Tamandua tetradactyla: one gene and its partners. The protein of the gene in region 2 interacts with the protein of the main gene of each other region in a biochemical or structural test. Links are inferred from orthologs where the notes say so. Each region holds a gene or a part of one and is shown on either strand. Other genes may lie near its edges. The genes, in order: BCL11B, NR2F1, BCL11A and AHR.

Evidence for each region.
Region 1: the proteins of NR2F1 (region 2) and BCL11B form a complex in vitro, tested with the Homo sapiens proteins (2 studies listed by BioGRID). The link is inferred for Tamandua tetradactyla from reciprocal best matches to the Homo sapiens genes NR2F1 and BCL11B.
Region 3: the proteins of NR2F1 (region 2) and BCL11A form a complex in vitro, tested with the Homo sapiens proteins (2 studies listed by BioGRID). The link is inferred for Tamandua tetradactyla from reciprocal best matches to the Homo sapiens genes NR2F1 and BCL11A.
Region 4: the proteins of NR2F1 (region 2) and AHR form a complex in vitro, tested with the Homo sapiens proteins (2 studies listed by BioGRID). The link is inferred for Tamandua tetradactyla from reciprocal best matches to the Homo sapiens genes NR2F1 and AHR.

The regions. Positions count from the first base shown.
Region 1 is NC_135338.1:60,547,489-60,554,760, forward strand, and holds the start of BCL11B (B-cell lymphoma/leukemia 11B), read right to left. Parts: upstream 3,018-7,272; 5' UTR 2,163-3,017; coding exon 2,105-2,162; intron 1-2,104. UniProt on the Homo sapiens protein: Key regulator of both differentiation and survival of T-lymphocytes during thymocyte development in mammals.
Region 2 is NC_135347.1:37,656,731-37,664,480, reverse strand, and holds the start of NR2F1 (COUP transcription factor 1), read left to right. Parts: upstream 1-4,739; 5' UTR 4,740-4,813; coding exon 4,814-5,276; intron 5,277-6,431; exon of another isoform or gene 6,432-6,446; coding exon of another isoform or gene 6,447-6,505; intron 6,506-7,725; coding exon 7,726-7,750. UniProt on the Homo sapiens protein: Coup (chicken ovalbumin upstream promoter) transcription factor binds to the ovalbumin promoter and, in conjunction with another protein (S300-II) stimulates initiation of transcription. Binds to both direct repeats and palindromes of the 5'-AGGTCA-3' motif.
Region 3 is NC_135343.1:32,912,252-32,920,190, forward strand, and holds the start of BCL11A (BCL11 transcription factor A), read right to left. Parts: upstream 3,003-7,939; 5' UTR 2,898-3,002; coding exon 2,843-2,897; intron 497-2,842; coding exon of another isoform or gene 448-496; intron 1-447. UniProt on the Homo sapiens protein: Transcription factor. Associated with the BAF SWI/SNF chromatin remodeling complex. Binds to the 5'-TGACCA-3' sequence motif in regulatory regions of target genes, including a distal promoter of the HBG1 hemoglobin subunit gamma-1 gene.
Region 4 is NC_135327.1:106,847,402-106,854,516, forward strand, and holds the start of AHR (aryl hydrocarbon receptor), read right to left. Parts: upstream 3,010-7,115; 5' UTR 2,795-3,009; coding exon 2,730-2,794; intron 1-2,729. UniProt on the Homo sapiens protein: Ligand-activated transcription factor that enables cells to adapt to changing conditions by sensing compounds from the environment, diet, microbiome and cellular metabolism, and which plays important roles in development, immunity and cancer.

The DNA of each region.
Region 1 (7,272 bases), on a different chromosome or scaffold from region 2:
GGCTCTGGTTGCTGCCGCCAGCCTAGCAATGCACCCCCAACAACACCCCCTTCTCCCACCACCACCCCCACCACTTCCCCCTCCTCAAAAAACGACCCTTGCATTTATACAGCGGCTAATGTGGGGGGCAAATTGCCTCCTGGAGAAATTAGGCTTCTGCAAGTATAGACGTTTTAACAACCACCCCACCATCTAAAAAGGGGGGGTGGGGGTGGCAGAAGAAGCAACGGCTGCCACTTGGTAAAGGAACGAAATGTCAGCTGGCGAAAAGGACCTTGATCAAACCAGGCTCAAATCGGGTTGCAAAACATTTTGTTTTAAAGACAGCCAGCCGAGTCTTCTTTGCTGTTACAATGGCGAAAAATAAAAGAGAAGCCTTCCTTCCCTCCCTCCAAAAAGGCATTCCTTTCCCAAACCGAGCCCCGGTTTATCTATCCCCCCCCCCCGAAAAAAAATAAATCCACAAATTCTTACTAATGTATCTGCTGTAACAAAGGAGAGAAGGCAACAGCAAATGTTCCAAGCAGATGGCTCCAACACTGGGTTTTCAGGGGAGGGGAGAACCCCTTTATATATTTATTTATTTATTTAAATTTTTTAAAATATAACATAAATATTCGGCTCTCGGCCGCCCCGCAGCCAGTCCTCGGCAGCCGCGGGGCGCGCAGCCTTCTCCAGCTCTGCGCGGGCAGCCCGGCCCCAGCCGGGAGAGGTGCGCGGAGGACCGCAGGCACCCCACCTGCCCGCGGTCTCGATGGCACCCACAGGATGTTTTATTTCTAATTGCAATAAAATAATTTTTATAAAAAAACAACAAAAAACAAAAACGGCCACGGCGATCCAAGGCACAGTGAGAGAAAGAACAGCGGGAAGTGTTCGCTCGCGGCGAAGAAGCGGCCCCGCGGGCTGGGAGTGCTGCGAGCCTCCCTTCTCCGGGCAGCTGTGCGGGGGCCCCGGGCGGGCACCTCTGCAAATCTTGTACCTAGCCCGCTTGCGCTCGTTTGTTTCCTTTTCTAAATAAGCCGAACTGGGGCATTGGAAGCTGCCGTGTCTCTGCCCCGCTGCCCGACTTTGCCCGCCCCGCCACTTGCTTGAAATCCACATGATTTCAACCGGTGGATTTCCACGGCGACCTGCCTTGTTTATTTAGATGGGGAATATGAAAGATACTGAGCTGGAAAGATGGATAAGAGATTGATAGGTCTCTCGGTCTCTCTCTCTCTCTTTCTCTCACTCTCTCTCTCTCTCTCTTTTTACTATTTTACAAGCGCATCTCTCTCTTCCCACTCCTAGCTGACAACCTCCCCCCACCCCGCCCGTGGCGGGGATTTTTCACCAGCCCCAATCTCACCACCTTTTTTGGAATGGGGGAAAGAAGACAAGATCATCCCAGGAGACAGACGGAGGTGGGGAAATGGGGGGGGGGGGGTGCTTGAGCCCGGCAAACAGCCGCGCAGCTGGATTCTTTTGCAAACAGAGAGAGGAGGGGTGGAGAAAAGCCGCGGCGGAATCCGAGGACCCGCGTGGCCAGCGCCCTGCCTGGCCCGGCACAGCAACCTGGGACCTGGAGCCGGCGGCCGCCCCTCGCCTCGCTTCTCCCCCAGGCCGCAGCGCACCCGGCTCTGCTCCGCCCGCGCCGTCAGCACGGACCCACGCGCTCGCCAACTTTTCCCCACTTCCCGGCTCCCCCCTCCCCCTCCGCTCCCCAACCCCCTCCCCCTCCTCTCCAAACCCCGCCACCAGCGCCGCCGCCGCCACACACGCCGCTCGGAGGGGCGAGCGTCCAGCTGGGCTCAGCGCGCACACACACACACCTCCTCCAGCCTGCGCGCCCCCTCCCCGGCCCGGAGCCCTCTCCGAGGGCCCCCGAGCCCGAGGCGCGCCCGGCTGAGCAGCGCCCCGACTCCCTGGGCTGTAAAGAAACTTTCCTATGGCTCCCCGGTCCCCCACCATGCTCCCGGCCGCCGCTGCCGCCTCTGCGGGCCCGCAGGCGGCCCTAGCGCCCGGCTTGGCGCGGCCCGACTGCGCCCGGCTCGGTGTCCCCAGCCCCGGGCGCCCGGAGACCGATCCTTCGGCCCCTCGCGCGCACGCCGCAGACACTTACGGGTGATGAGCTCCCTCTGGGACAAGTGCTGCGGGTTGCCCTGTTTGCGGCGGGACATTGCCCCGGCATCTATTCTGGCATCGCCCGGAGAGCTGCACTGCTGGGGGGAGCCGGGGGAGGGGGTTCCAGCCGCCGCCGCTGCCGCCGCGCCGCTGCCGCCGCCGCGCCTCCTCCTCTGCCCGGCTTGGTGTTGTGTGTGTGTGTGTGTGTGTGTGTGTTTCCCCTTCCTCTCTTGCCCTCTCTTCCTCCTCTTCTTCTTTATTTTGCTCTTTCTTCTATACCGCTTTTTGTTTTATTTGCAAAAAGAGAAGAAAAAAAAAACAAGGAAAACCTCTTGATTTAAAATAGAAGAGGCAAAAAAAAAAAAAATCAAACTGCTGTTGCTTGCTGCCGACTGGCTGGTTTCTCTAAAAATATATTCTTTTGAAGGAAAAAAATCGCTTACACTTCTTCAAACTGCTGGCCTCTTGGACTTCCAAATGTCTTCTTGAACTTAAACTGGATTTCGCACCGGCTCCTGACACTTTCTTTCGGGGGCTGGTAGAAGGAAAGCGCACTTCTACCAGGAGGGGGGAAGAGAGGGGGAAAAAAATGCAAAGAAATAAAAAATAAACGAAGGAAAAAAAAGCGAAGAAAACTTGGGGACTTGACTCGTACCCCCTCACCCCCCGCCCCCTCAAAAAACCCAAAGCAATGTAAAACTGCTCGGATTCGGTTGTTTCTGGGTTTTCTGAGGGCTGCCTCTTTTTTTTTTTTTTTTTTTTTTCTTTTTCTTTTTTTTTTCTCGGAGACTGACCCTTCTGAGGCTCTGGGGGGACTCCAGGAGCGGCTCCTTCCCAGTTCACCTGGCAGGCTGGCGCCGGCCGGAGGGGCTGCCGGGTCCCCGCGAGCGCTCCCCAGCGCTCCCCTGGCGCCGCGGCCCGGGGGGAGCGGGGCTGAGGGGCGGCTCGCCCAGCGCGCCTGGGTCGGTGCGGGCGCGGACTGGGAGCTATAGATTGCAACGTGAAGATGGCGGAGTCCGGCTTCTCTGGGAGCTCTCGGTCTCTCTATGGCTGGGGCTGCCTCTGTACAATGGGATAAAATTCAAGTTCAAGTGCGGACGTGACGTTTAATCTGCACTAGAGACAAAAAGACCCAGAGAGTCGGAGCACTGGGGGCGACTAGCGGTGGCTTTTTAACATTGTACCCTGCAAGAGAACAAGAAAGCACACACACACAGAGAGAGACACACTCTCTCGCGCGCGCGCACACACAGTCGCCCGTGAGCACACCCGCGGCCCAGGCCGACCACACGTGCAAAGAGCGTTTTGTGCGCTCCTCTTTTCCTGGAGCACGGGCGGCACAAGGCCCAAGGAGGGGGGGAAGGGGGAGAAGGTGGGCAAGATATTTTTAAATAAAAGAAAATCCTTCTCTTTATCCCTCCTCCCCTCCTGGGGGCAGGACCCCCTGAAGGGGGGTGGGGGGGCGGCAGGGTGCTGTGTGCATGGAATAAGTTGAATCAATACACGTTCCCACCCACCCAAAAGCTCATTTGGACTTGGGGGAGGCGGGTGCTGCGGAAAAGGTTGGAAAAGCCAATTGCTTCACCTCCCTGGAAAAGTGGCTAGTTTGCTTTATTTATTTATTTGTTTTTATTGGGGAGCCGGCGTTAAACTTCCAGAAAGTGTCTACACTTAAAACCTGATATTATACACTCTCAGAGAGAAAGGTGAACAAAATAAAAGACTCTAAAAGGAAAGAGTTAAGAGCAAATGGAGGGGGGTTGGGGTCGGAGGCGCCTGAGACCTGGTCTGAGTCCCATTCCAGAAGGAATCTCCACCGGAATCTTTGCCCTCCCTCCACTCCATCCCATCAACTTCTCGGAGAATCAAACTCGGCCCCGCCGCCTAAGGCCGGGGTCTGTGGGGAACGCAGGAATGAGAGGACAGGGATGCTCCACGTGGGGAAGGAACTTGGACGTCCTGACCCCAGAAGTCGCGTGGCCGATCTCTGCAGATCCTCGGGTGGGCGACCCCTCGGATCGGCTCTCTCTCATCCCCTGACAATTAGAGCACTCCTCAAAGGAACCCTCCACCCTCACCCCAGTGCCCCTCGGCGCAGGGCAGGACTTGAAATCGCCCGGCAGACTGGGAAGGACACAGCTGCCTTGTCAGCCGTTTGATCTCCAGCCGGCGAGGACAAGAGGAGTTGTGGGGGCCTGTCCGGGTACAAGGCCTGGCCGCGGTCTCCGCAAACCGCCCCCACCCCCAACCCCGCCCTCTCCGGGCCGCGGCCAAATCCGCCTTATTTGATGACGAGACCTCCTGGGCAGGGCGCGCCACGCGGCTGGACGCCTCTCCCTTCTCTGGGTTTCTCCTGTCTCGGCCCGGGAGGTGGCCGAGGCGGGTCGGGGCCTGGCTCGAGGTGAGCCCAGCTACACCCACCCCGCCCCCAGGCCCGGCCCCCGAGGCTTCACCCCAGCGAACCGCTGAGTGGTGGCGCCTCCCAGCGCGCCGCCTCCCGCGGGACTCATTCCTCGAGGGGCGCAAGGAGTTTTTGTTCGCTTCGAAGACCCTGGGTGGGGCGATAGCACCAACAGCTCGCAGCGCTCACGATCGAAGACTGAAAGGACTCCCTACCCATACCACTCTCACCAAAATCACAACAATAATGTGTGCCCTAGCGTGCATGCAGTTCGGTGGATGGGAGGCTGCGGGGTCGACGCACACAGACCGAATGGGTGGAGACGCGGGGAGGAATCCACACGTCCCCTACCGCCGGCTGCTAGCCGCTGCCCACGACCCACCACATCCACGTGGTCCAAAGTCCAGAAGCGCCTTCCTTTTCTCCTAACCCGTCCCACCGCCAAAATCTTTCCATGAAAGTGGCCTAAGTGAGATAAAAAATGCCCACACGCACCTTCAATAAAGTTCTTTAATAAAGTTCTTTACAAACCGACCACTCCGACTCGCCCAGACTCCTAAATTTGGGAGATCACCTAGCAGCTCTTTGTGGGAAGCGGCGGGGTAAAGCCCAGAGAGGGTGAGCTCCCGGCCGGAGGTCACACAGCGCGTCGGAGACGGGTCTGAGCTCGTATCCCCGAGGGGTGCCTGCGGCCCCACGCCGCCTCCTGTCCGGGCCCCGAAATCCCTTCCCGCTCCCTTGCCCTCCCGGAGTTAATTACAGAAAAGCGGGAGACCCGGTGTGTAGCTCGGGGGAGTGGGGCACAGCCTCAACAAAGAGGGCCCCTCGGGGGGCGGCGCAGGGACGCTAAGAGGCCCCAGCTGCAGCTGCCCTGCTCGCGCGCGAGCTGGGGAGGGGGCGCCTCCGCCCCACCCCCAGCAGGAAGTGGCGGGCAGGGGGCGGCGCGGGCCCTGACTGACCCGGGGAGCACTTCCTCATTGGCCCGGCTCTGCCCCTCGACGACGGGAAGATGGTCGCGCTGGGGGACGCGCGGGCGCAGGGCCCTCACGCCGGCGCGCTCCACCTCGCGGCAACCGGGAGAGGCTGCCCTGCCCCGGCCCAGCCCAGCGCTGGCCCCGGCGCCCTCCGCCTAGTCTCCGGAGAGGCGGCCGAGCGCAGGCAGCGAGCGATCCCAGCTGCCGCTCCAGTCTCCTCCTTTTCCCTCTGCCTGTCTGGCACGGGCATCATTAGCGCTGAGAGCTGTTAATGTCTGGTCTCACAGCTCCCCCTTTAGTCTTGCCGAACACCCTGTCTCGCTTTCCAAGCCGGATCAATAGCCGCCTCTCGGCCGACCTTGACCTCTCCCTTGACCCCGCCCGCAGGGGCAGCTGGCCTACGCGAAGGTTTCCCCTCTCTCTGGATGCCCAGCCAAAGGGGGGAGACGGGGCGCCGGAAGGGGGCGGCGGAACTCAGCCCACAGCCGCGCCCCTCCCCTTGCTCAGGACCCAGGCAGCAACTTCTGAGAAGGGTACTACACTCCCCCCAACCCCACCTCTGCATCTTCCAAATCTTTGTTTAGAATAGCAGGCACCGCTGCCCCAAAAAAGGGGGCTCAGATGGTTCATAGATGAGAATGTTAAGAGGAAAAAGTGCAGGTCCAAGCATGCTTCTAAACTGATATCACAACAGTTGAGGATTATTTCACAAGCCTTTGCTGCAGGCCCACTGTGTGCTGGGAGCTGGGCTTTGTGCACACTGGAATTCGAAGGAAAGAAATGCCACATTTTCTGCACTGTCTTAAAAAAAGAAAAGCAGATGTCCAAAGCTTTTTGAGCTCACAAATATTTCCCTGCTCTTTTTTTCTAGCTCTCCAGTGCATTCCAGCAGGTAATCCCTCATATTCTTCATCCCTCTAAAGGTCTTTATAGAGGAATAGTTCAGAAATCAAAAATTATTTCATCAAATCGGAGTCCATTTTTGTTAATTGTGTGTGGAACTCTAATTCCCTCTGTGTAACATGCCGTAGGGTGGGGGCAGATCATACGCACGTGAGCCACAAGCAAGAGTCTTTGTTTAAAATTCTTTGAGCAATTCTCAACACTTAACTCCTAGCTAAGGGTAGACTCTATTCCAGATTGTACAACGTTATCTTTGCCTCCTGAGCGGTTATATTTTATATTTTGTCTTTACAAAAATTTGGAATCAAGTAATGTCAGTAGAAATGAGAACTCCCAATGTTTCTGCAGAAAGAAAAATTGACATTTCATTCCTTGTTGTTGTTTTTTCTCCAAATAGGGATCCATCCTCTAAAATGTAGTCAGATAACTTTGTGGCAATATGAAAACTCAACGACACATTTTACCAAATCCCTTTGGACTTCGTTTTTGATGTTTAAAAAAAAAAAAAAAGGAAAATATCCATGCGGAGAAGGCAAATCTTCTCACATTTGCAAGTGTGGGGCAAACTCAGAAGCAGAACATGTCTGCTAATTTCTGTTCCTCAGGATCACTATTGACGGTGAAGATGAGGATAAATACAATGCATCCATCTGATCAGCAGGTTGGCTTATTTTAGCTTGCTGGGAAGCCACAACAGAGGCACTAACCAAATCATATGTACATATTAATAAGGCTCCCAAAGTGGCCTTTTCCTCCTTCCTAGAATCTTTAGGTACTATCAAATCCAGAAGCATAAAAAGACAAAAGAGGCCTTTTGGGTTTCCTGGCACACCTTCTAGAATTATTTTATTCATTTCTGAAAATCACAGCAAATTTCTGAGTGTCACA
Region 2 (7,750 bases):
AGGAGGCAGGGGAGAGAGGATGGGGCGGGGAGAGGGTATCCTGTTTTGAATCTGGGCTGATATTTCACTGGCGCGATCCTCACCTCCGAGGCGGTGCGGCGGCCTCAATGCCAGCCTTCGCGCCGCAGGGAAGGGGGCCGGGCGAGGGCAGCTCCCCGCTTGACCCCACGGAAAGTTCTCCTTGTCCGGCCCTGGCTAGGATCCCGGCCAGGGGAGGCTGTGAGGACCAAGGCCGCCTCCCCTCCTGCCCACGTTACCAACCCCGAGTTCTAGAGAAACGATAATTATTGCGTTACTCGCCTGGTTGGAGCAGGACTTGGCCGACTTTCGCTTCTGGTGCCCACGACGCAAGGTCCAAGGTCCGAGGGCGATTGGGCCCGCGGACCCAGCGTCCAGCTGGCCTCCAGTTGCCTGGCGCTTGTTCTTTCCTCCTGCTCTTGCCTCCTCTCCCACACGCTCCGTCTCTCTCCGCGCTCTTTCCTCTCCCTGTCTCCCTCCCTCCCTCCCTCCCTCTCTCTCTCTCTCTTTGCTTGTCTTCCTCTGTCTTCCACTCCCTGCCTCTGAACGGTCTCGGGAGTTAAAATTTAGGATTTCTATATAGAAATTTTGCTCTCTTTTTTTTTGGCCTGCTTTAATCGCATTTATTTCGTCTTTTAACTGACTAGGAGAGGTGAGCAAGTTTATTTAGGGAGAGGGGCAAGGGCGAGAAGTCTCTCGCCTCCAGTTGCCTCCTCTCCATCAGCTGCGTACAATGGGCTGCCTCTCACAGGGTGCATTCACAGTCTTTCCATTATCCGAGCTGGAGGGACTTGGGGGGGGGGGCAGGCACAAGAAAGCCTTTATTCTGCTCTTTAAAATATCTCTTCTGCTCGTCACTAGGCGGTCGCCGATTCCCGACTTGCAGGCTGGAGAGACAGGAAAGCGCGAAAAAAACACCCCAAACAGCAGCGCTTCCCAACTCCGCCTTGGTGAGATTTAAAGTGAGAACCAGTATTTTAAAAACAAACCCTTTTTCTGTCTATATAACGTGACTGTATACTTCCACCTTTACCTGAGGGCGTGTTGGAGCTCAGGATGCTGGAGCTGAATCAAACTTTCATGCTCTCCCCAGTCGAAAGGCTGGCGGGCGAGCTGGGATCCCACCCCGAAGGCTGCAGCCGCCGCTTTGTCACTCCGCGCCGCTCCGCGCCCGCCCAAGCCTGCCTAGGGGAGCGATCTCAAAACGTGGGGGGTGCAAGTGTGCGATTGGAGAATATGTAACTAATAGAAGTATCATCTTTTCCCCCTGTACAATCTTTCAAGGAAAAAAAAATCCATTGAAAGAATTTTCAAAGTGTTGTCTTCGTTTGGAGAATAGTCGCAGGCTGCCTGCGGGGAGTGGAGGAGGGACTCGGCTGTGCGTGGTCCGGGCGCGGCTCCCGTCCGCTAGGTGGCAGCCGGAACCAGCGATTCCTGCAAGCCCCGCAGTGGGACCGCTCCTCCCGCGGCCCCTCCTCCTGTGACCAATCACCTTCGGGATCAGGGCGCTCGCTCTCGCTCTCTCGCTCTCTCTCTCTCTCTCCCTCCTCTCTCCTCTCTCTCTCCTCCCTCTCTCTCTCTCTCTCTCTCTCTCTCTCTCTCTCTCTCTCTCTCTCTCTCTCTCTCTCTCTCTCTCTCTCTCTCTTCTCTCTTCTCTCTCCTCTCTCCTCTCTCTCTCCTCTCTCTCTTTCTCTCTCTCTCTCTCCCCTCTCTCTCTCTCTCTCTCTCTCTCCTCTCTCTCTCTCTCTCCTCTCTCCGTCTCTCTCTCTCTCTCTCCCTCCCTCTCTGTCTCTCTCTGGTCCCACCCCTCCCCCACCTCTCCTCTTCTCGCTCGGTCGCCCTCTCCTTTCCCGGGACTCTGACTTGTCTCCACTAATCCCCTCCAAACAACAAAATCAGGATTTACTTCCGTTTTATTAATAATTACTGAAGCGTTGTTGGGCGTTGGGAACAGCCTGGGGATACTTTAAAAAAAAAAAAAAAAGGAAAAACTAGATTGAAAAGTTTATTTTTAAAAACATCTTTGGAATCAATAAGTACAGTTGATTCGGATCGAATTTGTGGCAATAGCTGCAAAGTCCAGTAATTTGCTTTATCCAAATCATAATGTATTATAATTAAACCATTAAAACCAAGATGTACGGGGGTAGAAGAAAAATAGGGAAACCCTACCCTGTTTCTATAAAGGAAATAAAATTAACAGAAGCCACACTTGGTTTATTCCTATATAACTGAAGAAAACAATCCAAACCCAGTATATTTCACGAATCATTAAAATGATGCGGGTTTCATTCCCATTAATTTTTTTCGAACATTTTCAGTGACACTGCCTTCACGCTCATAAAATCTAATTTTAAAAACTTTTAAGAAGAAATCAAAATAATTTCCTTCTAATGCTCTTTTCAGCCCCACTACAAAACATTCTCCCCATCTCTATCCCTTCCCCCTCTGGTGTGAGTGTGTGTGTGTGTGTGTGTGTATGTGTGTGTGTGTGACCACAAACGACCCATACTAATCAGGTCTCAGAGTAAATAGCAGCGCAGGGCGATCTCAATGTAAATTGCGCTTGTCAGAAGCACAACCCCCTCGCTCACTTTCTCTCCTCCTCCCCTCGCCATCCCAGTCAGTAGGTAGCTAAGAGGGAGGGGAGAGAAAAAAAAGAAAGAAAGAAAAAGCCGAGGGGGAGGGGCTCTCCAACCAATGGCGTGCGGGAGGCTTGGCTAACCTTAGCCTCCCGTTTTCTCTCCCCCCCGATTCAGGGCTCTGACCAGTCAGTCGCCTTTGATTATCAGTTGCCAGCAGCCCTTCTCTTGGCTCCTTGACACGAGCTCCATATAAGGCAGCGATCTCCATAGAAACGTGTCAGTTTCAATAGTAGTGTCAAAGTTCACTATATACAGACATTCGCGCAGATCCCCCTTTCGGAAACATTGCTCTGCGAGTCCTCCCGTTTAAACGCATTCAATTTTTGGGTCTCTCTCTCTTCTCTCTCTCCCCCTCTGTTTCCCTCTCTCTCTCTCTCCCTCATCTCTCTCCCTCTCTCTCTTCCTCTCTCTCTTTCTCTCTCTCCCTCTCTCGCTTTCACTCTCTCTCTCGCCCTCTCTTCTCTCCCCCTCTCCCCTCTCCCCATTCTCCTTTCTTACATATTCTATTAGTTGTTCGCCCTTCTTCTTCTTCTCCTTCTTTCTCTCCTTTTCCCCCTCCTCCCTGTCTCTTTTACTCCATTCCTGAAGAAGAGAGAGGGCTAAACTTAAAAAAAAAAAAAAAAAAAAAAAAAAAAAGGAGGAGGAGGAGGAGGCACCCCTTCGTATTCTTCTTATCGTTATTTTATACATATATGATATTTTTTAGAGGGAGGGTGTTGGTTCCCGGCTGAAGAGCACTTATTTAAAATACTAAAAAAAGAACATTTTTGGGCGCTCTCCAGGGTTTTTTTAACTAGCTCTGTGTGTTATAGCAGAAGAAGCAGAAGAAGGAGCAAGAAAGAGAAAAAGAAGAGGATTATTTATTCGACCTACTTTGGATGTCTCACTCGCTTTTTTTTTTTTCCCCAATTCTTTTTGCTCTGATTTTTATGTTTTCAATTTCGCTGTGAATTCGTCGCCGGCGTGAATATCTCGTATTTTTCTCCCCCTTCCGTCACCTCCTGAAAGAAGAAGGCAACGAGAGCCCGGCGCCACCGGCACAACAAAAAGAGCAAAGTGTGTGATTCTCCTCGCCGGCTGCCTCCCGCTTTCCAGCGCTGCCTTCCTGAATGGCTGGCTGCGTCCGGCCCTGGACCTGGCCCCCCGACACCCGCGCGCCCTGATCGCCCCCGGCAGCCTCACCCCGCGCCCTGCGTGGCTCCCCGCGCTTCCCGCACTTCCGAGCCTGGAGAGGGCTCCCGCCGGGACAGCGGCGGCGGCGCGGTCGGCCCCGGCCCCGGCTCGCGCTCCGGCTGCAGCCCAGTCTCCGGCTCGGACCCCCGCCCCGGCCGGGGCTCCTCCAGTGGCGCTCGCCGCAGCTGCTGAGGCGGCGGCTCCAGCGGCGCCTGCAGCCGCGACCTCCTCCGCCGCCGCCGCCGCCGCCGCCGCTGCTGCCTCCGCCGCCTCCGCCGCCGCCGCCTCCGCCCTCGCCGGCTTCCTCTATGTCGGCTCAGCCCGCGCGCTGCGCGTAGCCCGGGCGGCCGGCGGGCGGGCGGGCGCCCGGCGCGGGTGAGCGAGTGTGTGCGAGTGTGTGTGTGCGCGGGGGTGCGGGCGAGGCGGAGGGCGAGTGTGTGCGCGCGCCGTGGCCCATGCCCGCCGCCCCCGGCGCAGCGCCCCGCGCCGCTCCCCGCTGCTGCCTGTGCCATTTCTGATTTTGCAACTTGGGGAAGAAGAAAAAAGCGAGAGAAGGGAGCCTGCTCGCGGGGGGGGGGTGGGGAGGGGGGAAGGAGAGTGCGGCCCCCCCCAGGAACGGAGCGCGGGGGGAGCGGGCTAGGGGAGCAGGGGTGTTGGGGGGGGAGCTTGAGAGCCTGGGGGGGCTGCAAAAAGAGAGAAAGAAAACAGCAGGAACCACAACAAAACGCCAGCAGGGCGGGCGGGCGCGCAGCAGCAGCGGGGCGGCCGAGGCAGTAGCGGCGGCGGCGGCGGCGGCGGCGGCGGCAGCGGCCGGTGCCCGGCTCAGGCTCGGTTCCCGCGACCCCGGGGCGCCCAGCGGGCCCCCCGCCCCCTCCCCCTCCCCCTTCCCCTTCCCCTTCCCCTCCCCGCGCTCTTGCGCTCCCCACGGCCCTTGGTGAGCAGCTCGGCTCCCCCCAGCGCTCCCCGGGCCCAAAGATATGGCAATGGTAGTTAGCAGCTGGCGAGATCCGCAGGACGACGTGGCCGGGGGCAACCCCGGCGGCCCCAACCCCGCAGCGCAGGCGGCCCGCGGCGGCGGCGGCGGCGCCGGGGAGCAGCAGCAGCAGGCGGGCTCCGGCGCGCCGCACACGCCGCAGACCCCGGGCCAGCCCGGAGCGCCCGCCACCCCCGGCACGGCAGGGGACAAGGGCCAGGGCCCGCCCGGCTCGGGCCAGAGCCAGCAGCACATCGAGTGCGTGGTGTGCGGGGACAAGTCAAGCGGCAAGCACTACGGCCAATTCACCTGCGAGGGCTGCAAAAGTTTCTTCAAGAGGAGCGTCCGCAGGAACTTAACTTACACATGCCGTGCCAACAGGAACTGTCCCATCGACCAGCACCACCGCAACCAGTGCCAATACTGCCGCCTAAAGAAGTGCCTCAAAGTGGGCATGAGGCGGGAAGGTGAATATTTCTTCTCTGCTTCTCTCCCCGCGCTTCGCCCGCTTTCTCGGCCCACTTTCTTTCTCCTTCGTGGGGGTGGCTGCTGTGTGGGGCTCGAGCGGTCCCGGCCGGTCCCAGCTTCCCCTGTCCCCGCTGCCTTTCTCCCCCGGCGTTCCCGCCCCCCCTCCCCAGCTCGCTGCCGCTGCCTCCCCCTCCCGGCCTGCGTTCCTCTCCCCGGCTCCCCACCCCGCCCGCTGCCTGCTCCGGATTGTATCCCTGGGATCGTGAGCTGTGGCTTAAAATCCCCCTCCCTCCCTCTGTCTTGGATGTGCTCGGTGTGTGTCTCTTTCCCGTGTGTGCGTGAGGATGCTTGGGGCTGTACTGGCATGAGCCTGGGGAGGGAGTGCTTATTTCCCCCATAAAACTCCCTTTCTGTGTTTTTTCATTCCACTTTTCCCTCCACCTCTTCATATCCTTTATTTAAAATGGGGGAGGGCGGCAAGCTGAAGTATTTTGAACCGTAGATTCATTGCTGCCATCATCCTTTTGGAAGCTTAGCTTGGAAAAGAGGAGTGAGATTTATTGCACTTGTAGGTCTAATTAGGGGGGAAGGGGGGCTTCTGGCCCGTTCACTGGTTCCCTGTCCTCTCCCCGGAGCTGGGGGCTGCCTCCTCTGGAGCTGTGGCCTTCTTTTCACCCCTCTACTTTGAAAGGAAAGTTTGTGACTGAACCGTGCTTTCATAGTTGTGTCATTTTTAAAGAAGCATGATACTCGTTTTATTTCTTCATCAAACTCCACCCTCTGCTTAAATACTGCATACAAATTACAATTTACAACGCATTTACCGATCCTTCTGATTTGGCCATAATGCATAGACTTACAGCTGGTATGAGCTTCCACTTCATTTAATCCCTGTGTTGTATGTTTCTTTCTTTCTTTTTTTTAAAACACAACTTTGATGTTGGGTTTAGATATGTTTCATGTTCATGTGGCAGGAGATTCAGCACTTATCTTATAAATATATTTAGCCATTTACAGTTAAAGTTTATCTCCCGACAATCGTTAAAGATGTCTTATAGTCAAATTAGCAAACCAGTCAATTTTGCAGAATGCAGATTACTCCTTCTTATAATTGACTTTAAAATTACATTTTATATGCCACAAGAAAAGAAATTGAAATCCTTTAGATCTCAAGGAGCAAGCAAATATGACGACTTCATTCCTAGCTCCAGGGAGATTTTGTAGGCATCTGAAAAAAACAACAACAACAACAACAACTTTGAATTGTGCTCTCATTTAATTGAAAAATAACTGCCAAGTTCAAAACTATAATTAGAAAAAAGTATTCTAGCCGTTATGTTTCAAGAGCTTAAATTGCACTTGGGCTTGCATTAAAATTAGAAGCAAGGCAAACTTAAGAAAATAGTACACTACCTGAATTTAGAAAGCTGCATGTACTTGGGTATATCTATATTAATTTGTTGGGGGGAGAGTTCAGTAGCCCTAACTTTTTCTAAAGTTGCCTTTGTTTACATGGCAATTTAAAATGCTGGCACTGTTGAAGTAAAACATACACTTTGGAAAAAAAAAAAACTTTGGTCAGCTTTAAGAACTCAAAGCATGCTTACGTTTTGCATTCAGATGGTTAATGAATCCAGTGTTTTTGCAGTTGCAAGCTCGTGCATTCACTGGGCAAAAGCTGGCTGCAGGTTGCAGTGGCACCGCACAGGACAAACATTAATTATTATTCCCACTTTTTCCAATAATGTTTGGCTACTGTAAGTTCAACTTATTTTCTTGAAAATATTTAGTTTTGTGTTGCTTTTAACAGCTAGAACTTTGTATGGGGCTATGTGGTGGAGGGGAGAGGGGAGGGGTGATGGATACTTGTTCTCTACTCAAAAGTTGTAATTGGTTAGTAACTTGTACCTATTTTAAGGATAATTCTATAGCATTTTTAGAGAATATGGAAACATTTTATGAGCAAAATGCTGCTTGCTTGCAAATAAGGAGGCCTCTAGCTATTTGCCTAGAATCACCACCTTTCTGAGGTTTCGCCTATTTTTTTTTTTTTTTAACCCTGATTTGCTTCAGTCTGGAGGGGTGAGTGGGGTTTCATTTTCCTGTGTGTTCCTCTTTGGTGGCGGAGGGGTTGGCACTTTCTTGTCTTAGGAACAGGGCTGGCCTTGCCGGGCCGGGGACGCTGAAGTCAGGCCTCGTTCCGGCACGGTTGGGGTAGCTAGGGGTGCAAGCAATAGCTGGGCACCTCGGGCCGCGGAGATGGCAGGCCTCTCCCCGGAACTCCTCGCGATGTAGGATGTGAGTGAGACCCAGCGCGCGAGAGGAGGTGCGCGGGGTGCGTGTGGCTGCGGGCAGAGCCTCCGCATTGTGTCGGGTGCGCTGCGGCGCGGCGATATTCGCAAGCTCCCTGGATGCACATTGCCTCTTTTCTCTCTTTCTTTTTGTCAGCGGTTCAGCGAGGAAGAATGCCTCC
Region 3 (7,939 bases), on a different chromosome or scaffold from region 2:
ACGCAGAGCAGAGGGGGTGGGGGAGGAGGCTGGTACAGGTTCAAGTTCGCCGAGCTTTCTCGATCTTGTTCTGCCTCCTAGCGACCGAACGGTTCACTCGGTCCAAGAAGCGGAGGATTGGGGCGAGGAGGTGGGGGGCGATGCTGAGGGCCGGGATAGCCCCCGCCCCCCTCGACGCGCCCAGAAAATAAGGAAGGAAAGGAGCGACCCCAGCACCCACCCAACTGGCCTCTTAACTCAGGGCCAGCACCCTCATGGGGGGGGGTGGGGGGCGAAGGAGGCCAAGTCTCCAAACTGGAGTGGCCGGAGAAGGACCCGAGAAGTGTGAGGGAAGAACAGCCAGAACTGCACACCCCAGAGTGTCCTTTGAGCCCCCAAAGCATCCTTCAGAAGAAGGGCCCGGTTTTCCCGAGTCCTGCGCACACTGCCCTTCCTTCCCGCCGGTACCTGGCCGGGCTGTAACTTCACACCGCCGCGCTCCGCGTCTGCTCCGCATCCGGCGCGGCCCGGGGAGTGGGGGGCGGGGGAGAGCGGCGAGAGAGGGATGCGCGGGGGTGGGGAGAGGGAGGGCCCCGCAACGTGCCGGGGCGAGGGCGGGGGGAGCGGGGGAGCTTCCGAAGTGTGTGACAAGTTCCAGGGCCCAGTGAAAAATGCTGTTCCCTGTGCGCACTCCCCACCCCTTTAAAAAATAGAGAACTGGGTATAGGTGGTCCTTTAAAAATTGCATCAAAAATTAAAATGTCGTGAAGTGGGGGGTTGGATGAGGAATGCAAGTCCTCTCACACCTGCCTTTCCCTTGCTGCCAAACTTTCCTAAGTGCCCACCGCCCGCCTTTCCAGGCGCACTCAGTTAACCGGGAGCCCCCACCCCCACCCTCCTTCCCCTTGGTATATAGATTCAAAAGGATCCCAGGCCGAACCTGGCCGAGGAAGAGGGCAAGAACCAAGGATGAAGAGCGCGGGGGTCTCTGAATGCAGCGCCCCCAAAGCACATACTCGAACACACTTCTCTGCTTACCCACTCCCCATCTTCGGCATACACACACGCGCACACACACACACACACACACCTGGCCTGGCTGCGCTCGGGCGCAGGTTGCTGGTGGCCAGACCGGGAGGGAGATGGAGCAAGGGAAGCACGTGGTGACCTCTCTTCTGTCCCCTGTTACCCAGAGCACTACTGGACAAGAAACGTCTGAGAGTACCATAGGGGGGAAGAAGAAGGAGAGCGGGTGATGCAGACCCGCGCAGAAATGTGCTTTTTCAACTGCTTTGCAAAATGCTTTGCAAAGCCGAGTTTCTCCCCAGCCGGTTTGGCGGCGGGGAGGCTAAGAGGAGTTCTGGGCATTGTGCTGGGGGCGGGCGGGGACCGCGGACCCGGCTGGCGCGGAGCCGCGGCGTGGCCTGCAGCCTTGCGCCGCCTTGCCCCGCGGGCGGCCGGGCGGGAGCCGGGTGGGTGATCCCTGGTTGGGTGGGGGCGCGGTGAGGCCCGGCGAGTCCCTGGCCAGGCCCGGCCGCGCCGCCGCCCGCTCCCGGGCGGCCCCGCCGCGCTCGGTCCTCTTTCTGTTTGTTGGCAGGAGGCTCCCGCACACGCGGTGCTTGTAAACATTCAGACACGAGATTTTTCCCAATCAAAATCCACTTCCACTTTTTTTGAAAATCTTCCAAAAAATAGTAAGAGGAGGGAGTTCCTCGCTCCCTCTCCGTGCCGCCGGCGCTCTAAGTTTGCAACTGAAGGGGTTTTGGGGAAGGGGATGATTGCGATTTTTTTTTTCCTGGTTAGAGAATGTGAGATTTTTGCAGGGGGTGGGGGGTGGGGGAGTCAAAGAGGAGACCGTTGTAGAAAGGGCTGTCGTAACGTTTGGCTTCTGGTTTCGGGCACGAATTTTTCTATTTCTCTTGCCTTATTTTATGGTATTTCATTTTATTTTATTACACGTCTTCCCCTCGCCTTGGAGGCTCGGTAGCGAGCGGCGGGCAGCGACGACCGGGGCGGCGACGGCCCCAGCGCCCTCCCTTCTTCTCGCGCGCGTCCCCAGCCGCCTCCTCCCCCGGCCCCTGCCCCTGCCCTTCGGCGGCAGTGGCGGCGCGGGAGGGCAAGCGCGAGGAGCCGGCACAAAAGGCAGCGGGACAAACACCCACCTCGGGCCGGAACAAAAGGCGGCAGCGCCGGCCGCGTCTCCCTTCCTTCCCGGTCCCCCGGCTCTCCCCACCGCGCGGCCCCTCTTCAGACCTGGCGTACTCCAGAGCGTCCGGGCCCCCCTCTTACAGTCTCACTTTCCCACTATTGTGGGGATGATTACTTTCCTCCCGGTGCACACTTGACCGTGAGTGCGCTGGCGTCCGAGGGCCAGTGTTACCTCTTTTTTTCTCCCCGGGAATTGGTATTTTAGGCTTGGACTCCCCCTCCCCCCCATTTTCCTACGTTGAGTGAAAGCAACCCCCCCTTCCCCTGCAACTCCCTCCCCCAGGTTTGCAAGTGAGTTGTTCGCATCCTTTAGCATTGTTCATTATGTTGCAAAACTGGGGAACAAAATCATTGCATTCCTTTTCTAAAAGAGAAATAAAGCAGTGGAAAGAAGGTAAGAGGAGGAGTCAAATTTTTTTTTTAATTAAGTAAAATTAAAAGGCAAATGCTATCCCCAAAGTGCACACGGCTATGGTGCGAGATGGGATGAGGGTTTTCCCCCCTTTGAGTCTCTTTGAACAGGACTCTCGGAGATTTTTCTCGTGAAAAATAAAAAATGCATGCACACACCCCTCGATCCCCCTCGCTCTTGCTTCTCGTCTTGCGCGCTCTCGTGATTATTAATAATTATTATTACTATTATTGGGTTACTTACGCGAGAATTCCCGTTTGCTTAAGTGCTGGGGTTTGCCTTGCTTGCGGCGAGACATGGTGGGCTGCGGGGCGGGCGGCGGCGGCGGCGGGCGGACGACGGCTCGGTTCACATCGGGAGAGCCGGGTTAGAAAGAAGGAGACTCCAGAGAAAATATCTTCATCAGTGCCTTTTGACATCCAAAATAAATTAGAAATAATACAAAGATGGCGCAGGGAAGATGAATTGTGGGAGAGCCGTCATGGCTTTTTTTTTTTTAAGCAAAAAAAAGAGAGAGAGAGAGAGAGAGAGAAGAGATAGAGGGAGAGAGAGAGAGAGAGAGATGAAAAAAAATGGCAAAAGCCCCCCTGAGCTGCAAGTTCAAGTGCGGACGTGACGTCCCTGCGAACTTGAACGTCAGGAGTCTGGATGGACAGAGACACACAAAACATGGGCAGGGCGAGCAGGAGAGAAGGGGAGGAGGGAAGGGGAAGCTCACACCAATGGACACACATCAGGGGCTGGACATGAAAAAGAGACCAGGACAAGCCAATGGCCAGTGCGGGGCGGGGGAGGTGCGGGCGGGGGGCTCCGCAGACGCCAGACGCGGCCCCCGGGGGAGGGGCGGGAGGAGGGGAGGGGGCGCTGGGGCCGCGGGCTCACCAGTGGCCGCAGCAAGCACCGCGGCAGCGGCGTGGCCAGGAAAGAAGAAAGGGGCGGCGGGGGTGGAGGGAGCAAGACGCGCGCCCTGCTGCCCCACCCCCCCACCCCCCACCACATAAGGACCCTAAAATGAAAGATTAAAGGAAAAAAAAGAGAGAGTGTACCGGGAGCCTGAAACCCAGGGCCGGGGAAGCGCGGGCGGAGGGAAGCCAGGTAGAACTGCTCCCGGACACCCCGCTCGGTACGCACACCCACTTCCCCTCCCCGCGGCCACCGCCGCCGCCGCACTCGCTCCCGCCAGCGGACGCCCGGGGCAGAAGTGAAAGCCCGGAGCCCGCGGCTGCGCTCGGGAAACTTTGCCTGAGGAGAGGAAAGCAAAGAAAAATCACCCGAAGTTGAAAGCTGAGCCTCCAAGTTACAGCTCCGCCGCGGGAGAGGGGAGGCGGGAGGGAGCGCGCGATAGAGCGGAGTCCAGCCCAAGTTTGGATGGTTGTGGGCCCGGAAGAGCAGCTCGAGGGCCTCCCCGGGCCCAGGCGGCGTGGAGGAAGGGGGCAGGGACGAGGAAGGTGGCAGGCGGCGCAAGCCCCGGCCGGAGGGTCGGGAGGGCGCCCCCAAGACCGAGACGAGGGCTGGGGACCCGAGCGCTCGGCCAAGGGCCTGGCAAGGACTGAATGCAGCTGGAATCGCGGAATCCAGGCTCCCCAGGGCCGCGGAATGAGAGAGAGGCCGAGGAATAAAGAACCGGGAGCCAGAGGAAAGGGTGCGTTCTGGCCCCGAAAGGGGAGCGCCGAGGGCCAGGGCCAGGGCGAGGGAGGAGCGGAGGCGTCCACCTTTGCGAGCGGCCGCGGGCGGGAGGACAAAGCACGGGCAGTCCCGGGAGTCCCAGTCTCTGGGAACGTGCTCCTCGCGCCGGGGGAGGCCCGGGTGCAGGCTCCAGCGGAGGGCCACACCCCCTCCCGCCACAGAGCAACCGCAAAAGCACAGAGAGAGGGAAAGAAGATGTTTCCTCGGGGGGCAGGACACAACTGTTCCCATGCTGTTACCAGAAGAAAGAGAAAATGGGGAATGGAGAGAGAGCGACTGGCTCGCAGGAGCAGCCAGGAAGCCACGGTGGCTGGGTGAACGCCTCGGAGCGACCGGCAGCCCCGGGTCAGCGCCGCCTCGCCCTGGCGCCCTGGCGCCCTGAGCCAAGGCGGACACCCGGGAGCCTCGAGCCCTCTCTCGCCTTTCTGCAGACGTTCCCTGGAAATTAGGGAAGACCTGTTGGAAATAAGCTCCTGTCTCTTTAATGCACACACGCACACACACACGTTGCCACTGTCAAAAAGTGGGCTTCACTCCGGCGTGGGATACTTTCAGTTTTACGTAAAATGTACAGCAACAGCACCCCCTGCGATTGGAAAGTTTATTCAGAAACGTGCCTGCAAAGTCCCTCGGCGTCTCCCGCCTCCCAGCCTCCCTCCCTTGTCTGCGCCACCCTGCAGCCGCCGCCGCTGCCGCCGCCACCGAGACAGCGCTCCGATTCCAAATCGGGAAGGGCCGTGGTGGGGGTGGAGGGGTGGGGGGAGGAAAATGAACTCAAGTCCCAGGGCGGCGCGGAGGGTGCAGGTGGAGACTGCGCGCCGCTGCCCGCGAGACCCCGAGCTGCAGGTGGACGTTTGTGAGTGTGTGTCTGCAGAGCGAGAAGCCTTCCTTCCCTCTCCTTCCAGCCGCTCCATGACCCCTCGTGTCTTTTCATCTCCTCCTCAGTCTAAGGGGTGCCTTTTCTGTAAATTCACCCACTCGGCGGAGAGGCGTTATGGTTTTAAACCAGGAACCCGGGCTTGCACGCGCGCATCCACCTCCCAGCCTCGCCGGCAAGCGCCTGTTTATGCATGTGTCGTCTTAGTAAAGTTTCAAGCCTATTTACAAAATGCCTGGCTCGCCCAGCTGGGCGAAGCTCCGGGCCCCTCAAAGGAAGAGAAGGTGGTTTTGATGCCAGCGTTATGAGAGGTGTGGGCTGGTCTAGGTCTGTGTAAATGTGATTTGTTGTTGTTGTTTCGCTTCAGTTTTAGGGGAAAAAACTCTAATCCTGTTTAAGAAGCAGGAAGATTCACTTGCAATAAAGCTCTGTGGCGTGTGTGCGTGACACCATTTCCTCTTTTTTTCATGAGTTCTTCAGAGCAGGTCAGCATCTCTCTTCCACTACGGTCTGTTTTTTGTCTTGTTAAACCAGCCTTGGAGCTACCAAATGAATGTCACTGCTGGGGGAGGGGGAGGAGGCGGGGCGGCGAGGCGGACAGTTGGAGGGAAGGTGAGGAGCGGGACGAAGAAAGTGCAATTGGGAGGCCTTCAAAAAGAAAGAAATAAAATAAAAGTCTCTGCAGGTAGCGATAATGAGCCAGGTTCTTTCGGAACCGAGCATTTCAGATTTGAATATTCCCATTCCTCCATGAAAGTCCATATACAGAGAAAGTATATAAGTGGGGAATGTGTGCTGTGGAAATACATACGTATGATTTATATATAATGATGTGTATAAAGCTTTTCAGGGTTGGCTGTAGTGTAAAAAGTAATGACTTTATTACCTCTGAAAGGTTCTGTGGTTCACATTTAACAGTCTTCTGAATTACAATTCATTACACAATTGTGGGCTCTCTAAAACCGGCACCCCATCAGGGCCGCTATCTGTGGTTATTTCCAATAAATAACTGGCAACATTTTATTGATTTTCTTTAAAAAAAAAAAAACATGGGAAATTAAGCACTTAGTTACAAGTAGGTCTACTGTGTTATTGCACTTGTGTCAGATTCCAGGGGGTCCTTCCGAAACCACATCTTAAAACATACATTAAAAAGCCAGTTTTGCAGCTGCTTTCCCTGGGTGCCAGTGCAGAGGTAAGCAGCGACTTTCCCACTATTAACATATATTTAATTTCACCATCATTAAATGCCCACGACGAAATGGAAACTCTGCCCTCTGCTCCCGCACCTCCCCCCCCCCCAAGTTAGATTTCGCCCGGTCTCGAAAACCAGGGCTGTGCGTCGGCATCCGACCCCTCCTCGCCCCCCACCCTCTTGCACCCTGTTCCTCTCCCTTCCCGGTGACGCCCCCTCCCTCAGTGCTGCTCGATGCGCCCTAAAGTGCCCAAAAGTGGTGAAAGGGGAGGGTTTGTGCGTGTTTAAAGAAATGAAAGTGTGTTGTTTTAGGAGGTTTAAAAAATATTACATAAGTATTGATTAATGATGCAGGTGGTTTTGTGGAGGGGGTGAAAGGTCACTTTAAAAGCGCACACTTGGGCACACAGTAACTATATTTACCTTTCCAGAAGTGGCTTTTAGAAAGTCATAAATTATGACAACGTTAAAATGATTTTCTGGCCGTTCAATTAACTTCGTTTGGGGCTGTAGACCCTTTGCCGATTCCATTGAGGGGGTGATTACGCTCCGTGGCTCTTTCCCAAACCTTCGGCGACGACACTGAGTGTAAACCCCAGGCCAGCAGATGACCCCTCCCCCTCCTCCTCCCCCTTTTTATCTCGCCCGCGGAGGAGACTCCCCAGGACTTCCTGCAGTATATATTCCTCCTCTGATCTCCGTACTTAATAGCCAAGTCCTGGTTTATGCTTTATAATGTGTTGACAAGTTTTCTAACAGACTTTCTGAAATAATGCACATATATTCACGTCGGTTAGAAACCCCACCGTATTTTCAGAGTCGAGTAGATCTATACCCTAATGCAGTGAGAGAGTGTAAATCATAGAGAATTTCATAGTCCTTTCAGTAGTTTTCGGTATGAAGTATGAGCCGCGTGGCCTCCAGACGTAACCTTTTAGAAAAAAAGACAGTGCTTTTATTTTATGGTGTAAAGTGCTTTTAGCTCCAGGGCTCTGAACGTGAACGTGGTCAACAAACAGCTCGGAGAGCGAGGAGAATACAGTCCCAGCCCTCGTGCGCAGGAACGCCTGGCGCGGGCAACTCGGGCTGAGCTGGAGACTGAAGGGTTAAAAGGTCTGTCTCGTTGGAAACTACAAGATTAAAATAAAATATTCACTGTCTGCCTTTAGGGGGAACACCCTTCTGGACTTAAAGATAAACAAATGAATGACAATGAATGGTTAAGAATACGATTGGTAACACTTTGCTTTTTATGTCATCTTTTTTTTTCTTTTTCTTTTTCTTTTTCTCTTCCCCTCCCCTCCCCCCCATCATGGGCAGATCAGGAAAATAGAGAATGTACGGTCATCTTTATAGAAATAAAACTTAGCTTTGAATTCTACACTTGGTATAGATTTTGCATTTGGGGTTCTTGAGTGTGGAAGTGCTAAAGGTGCTACGAAGACAAAGGGAAATGAAATGAAAAGGGAAGGGAGCGGGGTGAGGAAGGGGTCGCCTTATGTGGACACCCTAAATTAAAAGGTGAGCTGAAAGAGGACAGCTCCCTTCTCTCCCAGTCCCTTCCATGCCTCACCCCTGTGAC
Region 4 (7,115 bases), on a different chromosome or scaffold from region 2:
TGTCCTGAGTTAATATCACAGTAGAAAAGCTGGTTCTATTTATATTCAATAGTGGACTTCATGAAACAAAATAAACAATAAATAAATAACACCTTTATCTCCAAACTCAATAAAACAAGCAAGGTTATTAGTATTGGAATAATGTTCTACGGAAAGCTACAGGACAATCTATTACTGAGGTTCTCTTTGAAAATTTCTTTGTGAAGGCAGGAACATGAATCAGATGCTTTCTTCAACTTTGCTTCTGACCCTTCAATTCCCTAATTACCACTACTCCAAAGAGAAAAGAAACATTTATTGAATATCTACAACGTAAAAGATACTTTAATAGGATTAAATTAAACACACTTAAAATGTATTTCCTACTAATAAAGGTAATTGTCCATGTTAGACCTGCCACTAGGGGGAGTTTATTTTGTTTAATAAATTGAATTGAAGGCTGGAAGAGCTTCAGGATAAAATTATGTCTCTTACTCTATCCCCAAATTTTATGGAACTGTAAATTTAAATAACTGTTTTTCAACAGTCTTATAATTGTGCTAAACAACATATTTTCTATGCAAGAAAAGTAAAATGGTTATCACTTAAGGAGTCAAAGCTAAGAAGATCTGGAGAGTATTGTCAGCCGAACAAGATGGATTTTTTCTGTGGGAATGCTGACACGTTTTACACCCCATTAGCCACAAACTAATAATTTAACTAAAAAAATTACATTAAACTTAGGATTAGGTTTAATGGCCTCACTCCTAAATCAAAGTTCCCTTTGATTAACTCCATTATAAAGTTAACTTTTTCATCTAGGTAGAAGTTTGCAAACCATTTCACTTGAGCATGTAAATGCTAGCACTAGGCTTTCCTTAATAAATGATATTTTAAGGCATTCATATGATTAGAAGTAATGCATGATGTTCAGTAAAGATCTGACAGCCATCTATACTAACTAAATGAGGGTGAATGAGGAAAAATGCTTTAGTTATACTGAATTACAAGAAATTACTAAATAAGGTATAGTAAAGTCTTAGGAAGTATGTTAAATATTAGGAGATTATAATAAAGCGTCCATATTATACAAGTAAAAGGAAAAATTAATACAAAAGGAAAACTAATAAAATATTAACTATAAATTAATAACGTTGCCTTCCATAATGAATATAAAATTAAGGCATTTAATAACAATAATAATAAGCCAGGTGTGTCATTCTGTAACACACTGACTGAAATTCATATCTTAAAAATCCATCAGGGAGTCTGTCAGATTTTCTGATCACACACATAAAACTCATGATACTCTATTATATGATAAGCTAAGGATGGTATTATATTAGCAGCCTCATGGACAGGCATTTTGGATATTTCCAAACTTAATCATCAAGAACAAAGTTAAATTGGACAAATAATTTTACATAAGAAGCTATTTCACAAAATGCGCTGTTCTGTAACCCAGACAGTAACTGCTGACTCAGCAATATACCTAATGTCAGACACAGAGGATAAATAAGACTTTTGGATTTTAATCAGTCTATTTATAGACGGTCCAATATCCTTTGTTAATGCCAATTTCTTTGTCTAGATTTGAGGCACTAAGATCACAGAAAATCTAAGAGGAAATTAAAACTTTAGAATGATGAAATCTTCAACCAATAATTAGTTTCAAATGCAAATCTTAAACTGTTATTTCTCTATTGGCATTACCAACTAAAGTTTTAAACAAAATACATATTTTTGATGTACTGAACAGACGTTTAATGGGCTTTTAAAATAGTTTATAAAAAATTTTAAAATATAGATGAATTAAAGTAACTCAGATTATAATTAGGAATCGACACTGGAAACTGATAAAAGGAAATCTGTCGCAATTTTTTTTTAAACACTATTTTAAAGTACTTGCCATCTCATACAAATATGCCGCTTCCCATGACTCCCATCCAAGTCTGGAATCACTCTACTAGAATTGAAAAAGCTTGGAGGTAGGGAAGAAAGGGAACTAGAGGAAGGTACTAAGAATGAAAACGACTCTCTTAAATACAGCTCCATATATTTCACTTTACAGACTGCAAATGCACCTCACAAGTGATGGCAAAGCTTCCCAAAAACGTGACTACGAATTCAATTCCCCATTGCACCACTCACACCTGACACCAAACCTTACTACTCTCTTTACCTATCTATAGGCACGCTGGACGCTACAAAATGACAATCAAATAAATAAAACTGCTCAACAGAAACCCAGACGCTCTAGCCCCCTAAAATCAGCTTCAAAACGGCACGTTTTAAGCTCTTTAAAACTCCTCGCCCTACCCAGATGTCTGTCTTTTCCAAGATTGGGAATTATGACAGTCGTCTTCTCTAACCGATGCGGACATTAAAATAAGAAGAGGATTTCGAGCAGATTTATGCTAGCTAATCCACCAGCAGCACAGGGAAGGCCAGAGCTGTCCACAAATTGGGACCGCAGAAGGGAGAATAGAGCTGTGAAGGGGTGGGGTGTGGGTGGGCTCGGCACTGGTGTCAGAAGGGACAATTTCTTAACTTAATTAAAAATTTAAAAAGTCCGAGTCTCTCGACCGACCTTCAAATCTGGATTCTATCGGCTGTGTTGGAAATACCACCTAACGCCCGAAACGCGGGGGTGTGGGGGCGGGCCCCTCCCAGAGGTGCCAGCCGGACCCCACGCGCCTTCCAGCCCCCTCCACCCCCACTCCCCCGAGGATGCCGCCCCGAACACTCACGTTTTCTGCACCGGTTTTCGCCGCTTGCGACTGGCATAGGTGATGTTGGCGCTGTTGCCGTTCATGGTGCCCGGCCAGCGGCGGCCCTCCGACGTCCTTGCGCCCCGCGTTGCTCCGGGCGAGCCGGCCGCCCGCGCTGGATTCCGAGAAGACGCGCCGGCTCCACCTGCGTCCTCCCGCGCGGAAGCTGGGGCCTCGGCTCCCGCAGCCCCGGCGCTTCCAGGTGTGCGGCGGCTCCAGCAGCCCAGACCCTTCCAGGTGCGCCTCGGCTCCCGCAGCCCGGGCCCTTCTAGGTGCGCCGCGACTCCAGCAGCCCGGACCCTTCCAAGTGCGCCTCGGCTCCCGCAGCCCGGGAGCTTCCAGGTGAGCCGCGGCTCCCGCAGCCCAGGCCCTTCCAGGCGAGCCGCGGCTCCCACAGCCCCGGCCTTTCCAGGTGCCCCGCGGCTCCCGCAGCCCTGGCGCTTCCAGGTGCGCCGCGGCAGCGCGGGGCGCCCGGGCCTGGCGCGCGGGGCGAGGGGCGCAGGTGCCGCCTATACCGGCGTGGGCGGGGCGGCCGCAGGTGAGACAGCCCGGGCGCAGGAGGAGCCCGGGCCAGCTGCTTGGGTGCCTGGCCTGGGTCGTGCGCGGTGCCGCCGCGCCCCGTGACCGGCTCCGCGCCCCCGCGGGTGAGAACAGGCGCCGCCGCGCTGCTCCGGGGCTTCCCCGCCCGCGGAATCCGGCGCCAGCCGCCAGTCCCGGTGGTCACCAGCTTCCGCTCGGCCGCTCGGCTGCCCCTACCTTCAGCTCGCGGGTCTGGGCTCGCCGTCGGTACCAAGCGTCCAGCGCACTCTGCCCGCGCCGCTTCCAGTGGCGCGCGCTGGCAGGAGAGCAGAAGGCCTGAGACCCCTCACGGCCGCCGCCCCTCCCATCGCGGTCCCGCCCTGCCAGCCTCGACTCCTCCCTGTCAGGCTCTTTCCCTGGAGGGTCCCCACCCTCCTGAGCGTAATGACGTCAGACGCAATGACGCCCTTCAGTTGCCATTTTGGTGAGGTCAAGAAGAGGTTTCCTCTGTGGACCTATTTCCAGGTGGGGAAAGGGTGTGACAACAAGTTACGTGTAGCCAAGCTTTCTGTAGCTACACGATATCAAATAGTGAGTTTAACTTCACCTGTTTGAGAAAGAGTAACTTTTGACTGAGAATTACAGTGAATTGAAAGATAACCAGTAGGACTGCTTAAATTGTTCTACTTGGGAAGACTTTAGAAGGTCACTTCTGAGTTTAGACTTGAAGGCTAGGAATTTTTGCAGCAGGTTTTTTTTTTTTTTTTTTTTTTTTTTGTCGTCTTCGTTGTTTTTTTTTTTTTTTAACAATTTGTCTCCACACTTCTCAGTATAATATCAGGATAACTTATTCCAAGGTCAGGTTTCAGTAAGGTTAGTGGAAGAAAGGAAATGGGGAAGCACTTAGGGCAGGAAGTGTTGGGAATAAGTAGCAGTCTGTTCTAATTGGGACAGAGGGAGAGAGGAGCTGGGCATGCTGTTCAGAGATTTGGGGATTAATTCATAAAGCTTTGATGAAGAGTTTAAAATTTATTTTGTAGGCAATGGAATCTTTTAAAATATATTTAGCAAGGGATTGCATTCTGGTGTTTTAGAAAACTGCTCTGGGATGAAGATGAAAGCTGGATTATAAAGATTAGAATCAAAGAGAGTAGTTGGGTAGTTGTTGAAATAGTTGAAGTAAAAGTCCAGGCAAGTAGCAGGTGGGATGGAGAGAAGAGAAAAAACACAGATGAAGATAGAAAGGATAAAGAAATAGGGGGTAAGAGCGCACTCGAGGCTGGCATCCACAATTTCTGTAGGTGCTGCTAGCCAAGATAGTGGGCACAGAGAAGGGTATGCAGATTAGGATGCCTAAATGGCATCTCACATATCTATTCCTATAGTTCAAATGCCTTCAAGCCATTTCGACAAGTAAATTTGTAACCTCAAACTGAGTGCATCAAAAAATTGAAAGCATTTCTTTTAGCTAAAAGTATGGTTTGTAGCCATCCCCTAAGATTTTTGAAGTTTCCATAGGCAGTTTTTGGATAGTAATATGATTTTTTCTTATAATGAGTAATTTGCTTAAAAGACTTCATGAATATTTGACTGCCTTATCCAAAGCAACGCCATCCTTCTAATTAGTTTTGTGATTATTTTCTGAGGTTTCAGATACAGATTATGTTTGGGTTCCATTTTCCTGTTAGACTGAGAAAAAGAAGTAAATTTCAGGAATACTTTTATAGATAACAGTTGTTTTAGAATAAAGGGGGTAAAAAAGAATGTGAAACCTGTTTTATCACAGTACTTTGATTTCATTCAGCAAGGTGTCCAGTGCCAGATGCTGTGGGATACAATGGAAATATCAGAGATAACCCTCTCAGTGTTATATTCTAATCGGAGAAACTAGAATTGATCAAATAATACACAAATAAATGCGTAATTGCAATAATAATAAGTGTTGTACGAGCACGATAAGAATGTGTAATTGGGAGATATGACTTAGGGGAAGCTGCCTAGAAGAGGATTGAGCTGAGATCCGAAGCATAATGAGACATCTTGTGGGAGTAGTGGGCAGGGGAAGAGATTCATGCAATCAGGACGCTAAGTAGAATTTTCACTTCCTCTTCATTCCTGCAGCTCTTTATTCCAGGCCTTCAGAATTATCTTTTTTACTTATATTCTGTGGTGTATAACGTACTTTAGAGAGCATAACCCCATGCTTCCCAAACCGTACCCAGTGCCCTGGGAGTACCATCTTGGAATATTTTAAATTTTCAAGGGAAACTCAGTGATACTGAGCAACAATTGGATACCATGTAAACCCCTGGCAAGAGGTGGTTCACAGCTCCAACGTTAAATGGTTCCTCATTCCTCTCGATGAAATCATATCTAGATGGGCTGTTGTAACTAGCTGTGATAAAATGCAAGGACTGGAAAAATCAATGTGGGACAGAAAATGAAGATGTTGATTTCCAACCTGACTGCAGGGTTTTGGAAGATATGTAGTACCCATCAGACACACACATCCCGTTAAGACTAAAATAAAATATTGTTTTTTTAAAAGGGTACATATATTTCTTCAAATAGCCACTAAGTTATTAGGAGAAACATATGTAATCTTGAACTTAACTTGCACTTAAGTGCAATTGTTGAGTCTGATTTCTTTTAGTCTGTGACAACATGGAAGAATTACTGAGACACCAAACTGAGAAAGCTATAGAAATTTAGGCATAGCTAAACCTTTCATTTAACAGATGAGAAATGTCAGGCCCAGATGGGTGTAGTGGCCTGTGGATCACACCCAGAATAGAATCCAGTTCTTGTAAACTCCTGTTTCAATCTAAAATATATATCTTATCTCAGCTGGAACTATCTTATTTCTTTAAAATAATTTCATTTATTCATCACTTTTTTTTCTACTCTAGCACTGAAGAACAGACTAGGGGCTGTTTCTAAAGGCTATTTTTAAATGCATAATGCCTTCCTGAGTTACTTGACTAGTCTACAAAAATGTCCTACTCAAAAGAACCAAACAAGTAATTAACAGGTGTGAAGAACTTTGGAAATACCTTTTAGACTAATGTCAATGCTAAAACTGACAAGGAAACCTCAATAAAAAATAGGGATATTTTGTTACTAGTCAAAGTAAAATTTATCAAGGATAACACTTTGTCATAAGAAACATCAAGACTAACACATAAAAGAACACTCTATTAAAGTTAATACAATTTAGGCTTACTTAGATTTTGATTTTTGCTTTCTGGACTTTCTGTTCTTATAAATGTGAAATTTCATTAAGGGAAAGATTATGAAAAAAATGAAGCTAAAAGTCCTATCTCATTTATTAAACATTTTATTAAATAATTTATGTCTCTCATATATATATATGTCTTTTTTTATTTAAAGCCATGTAGCAATTGGGATAAATACAATTAGGATCTACATAACACTATATACATAAATTTTTTCACTTTAAATCATAAGCAGAATAAACTGTAATGAAGATTAAATGCATTTAGATTAAGGAAAAACTATTGAGAAAAAGAGAAAATTACGACTTTATAAGAAAAGCCTAAAGAAATGTAAATTTTTGTGAAACTCTGACCTAAAGTATGTAATTTAGATTTGCTAAACTTTAAAAGACTACATGATTTTATGCATATTTAAAAAGCAAAATCAATGTATTCTTTCTTGAAAATATTGAAGTTGAATTTAATCAATCTGTAGACAGTGGTTCTCAACTTTTCTTACACATTATAATCACCTAAAGAATGTTAAAACATGGACATCTGGCTCTCTGGTCTAGAATTGTTATTTAATTGATCCGGATTGTGGCCTGATCATTAGGATTTTTAGAGACAA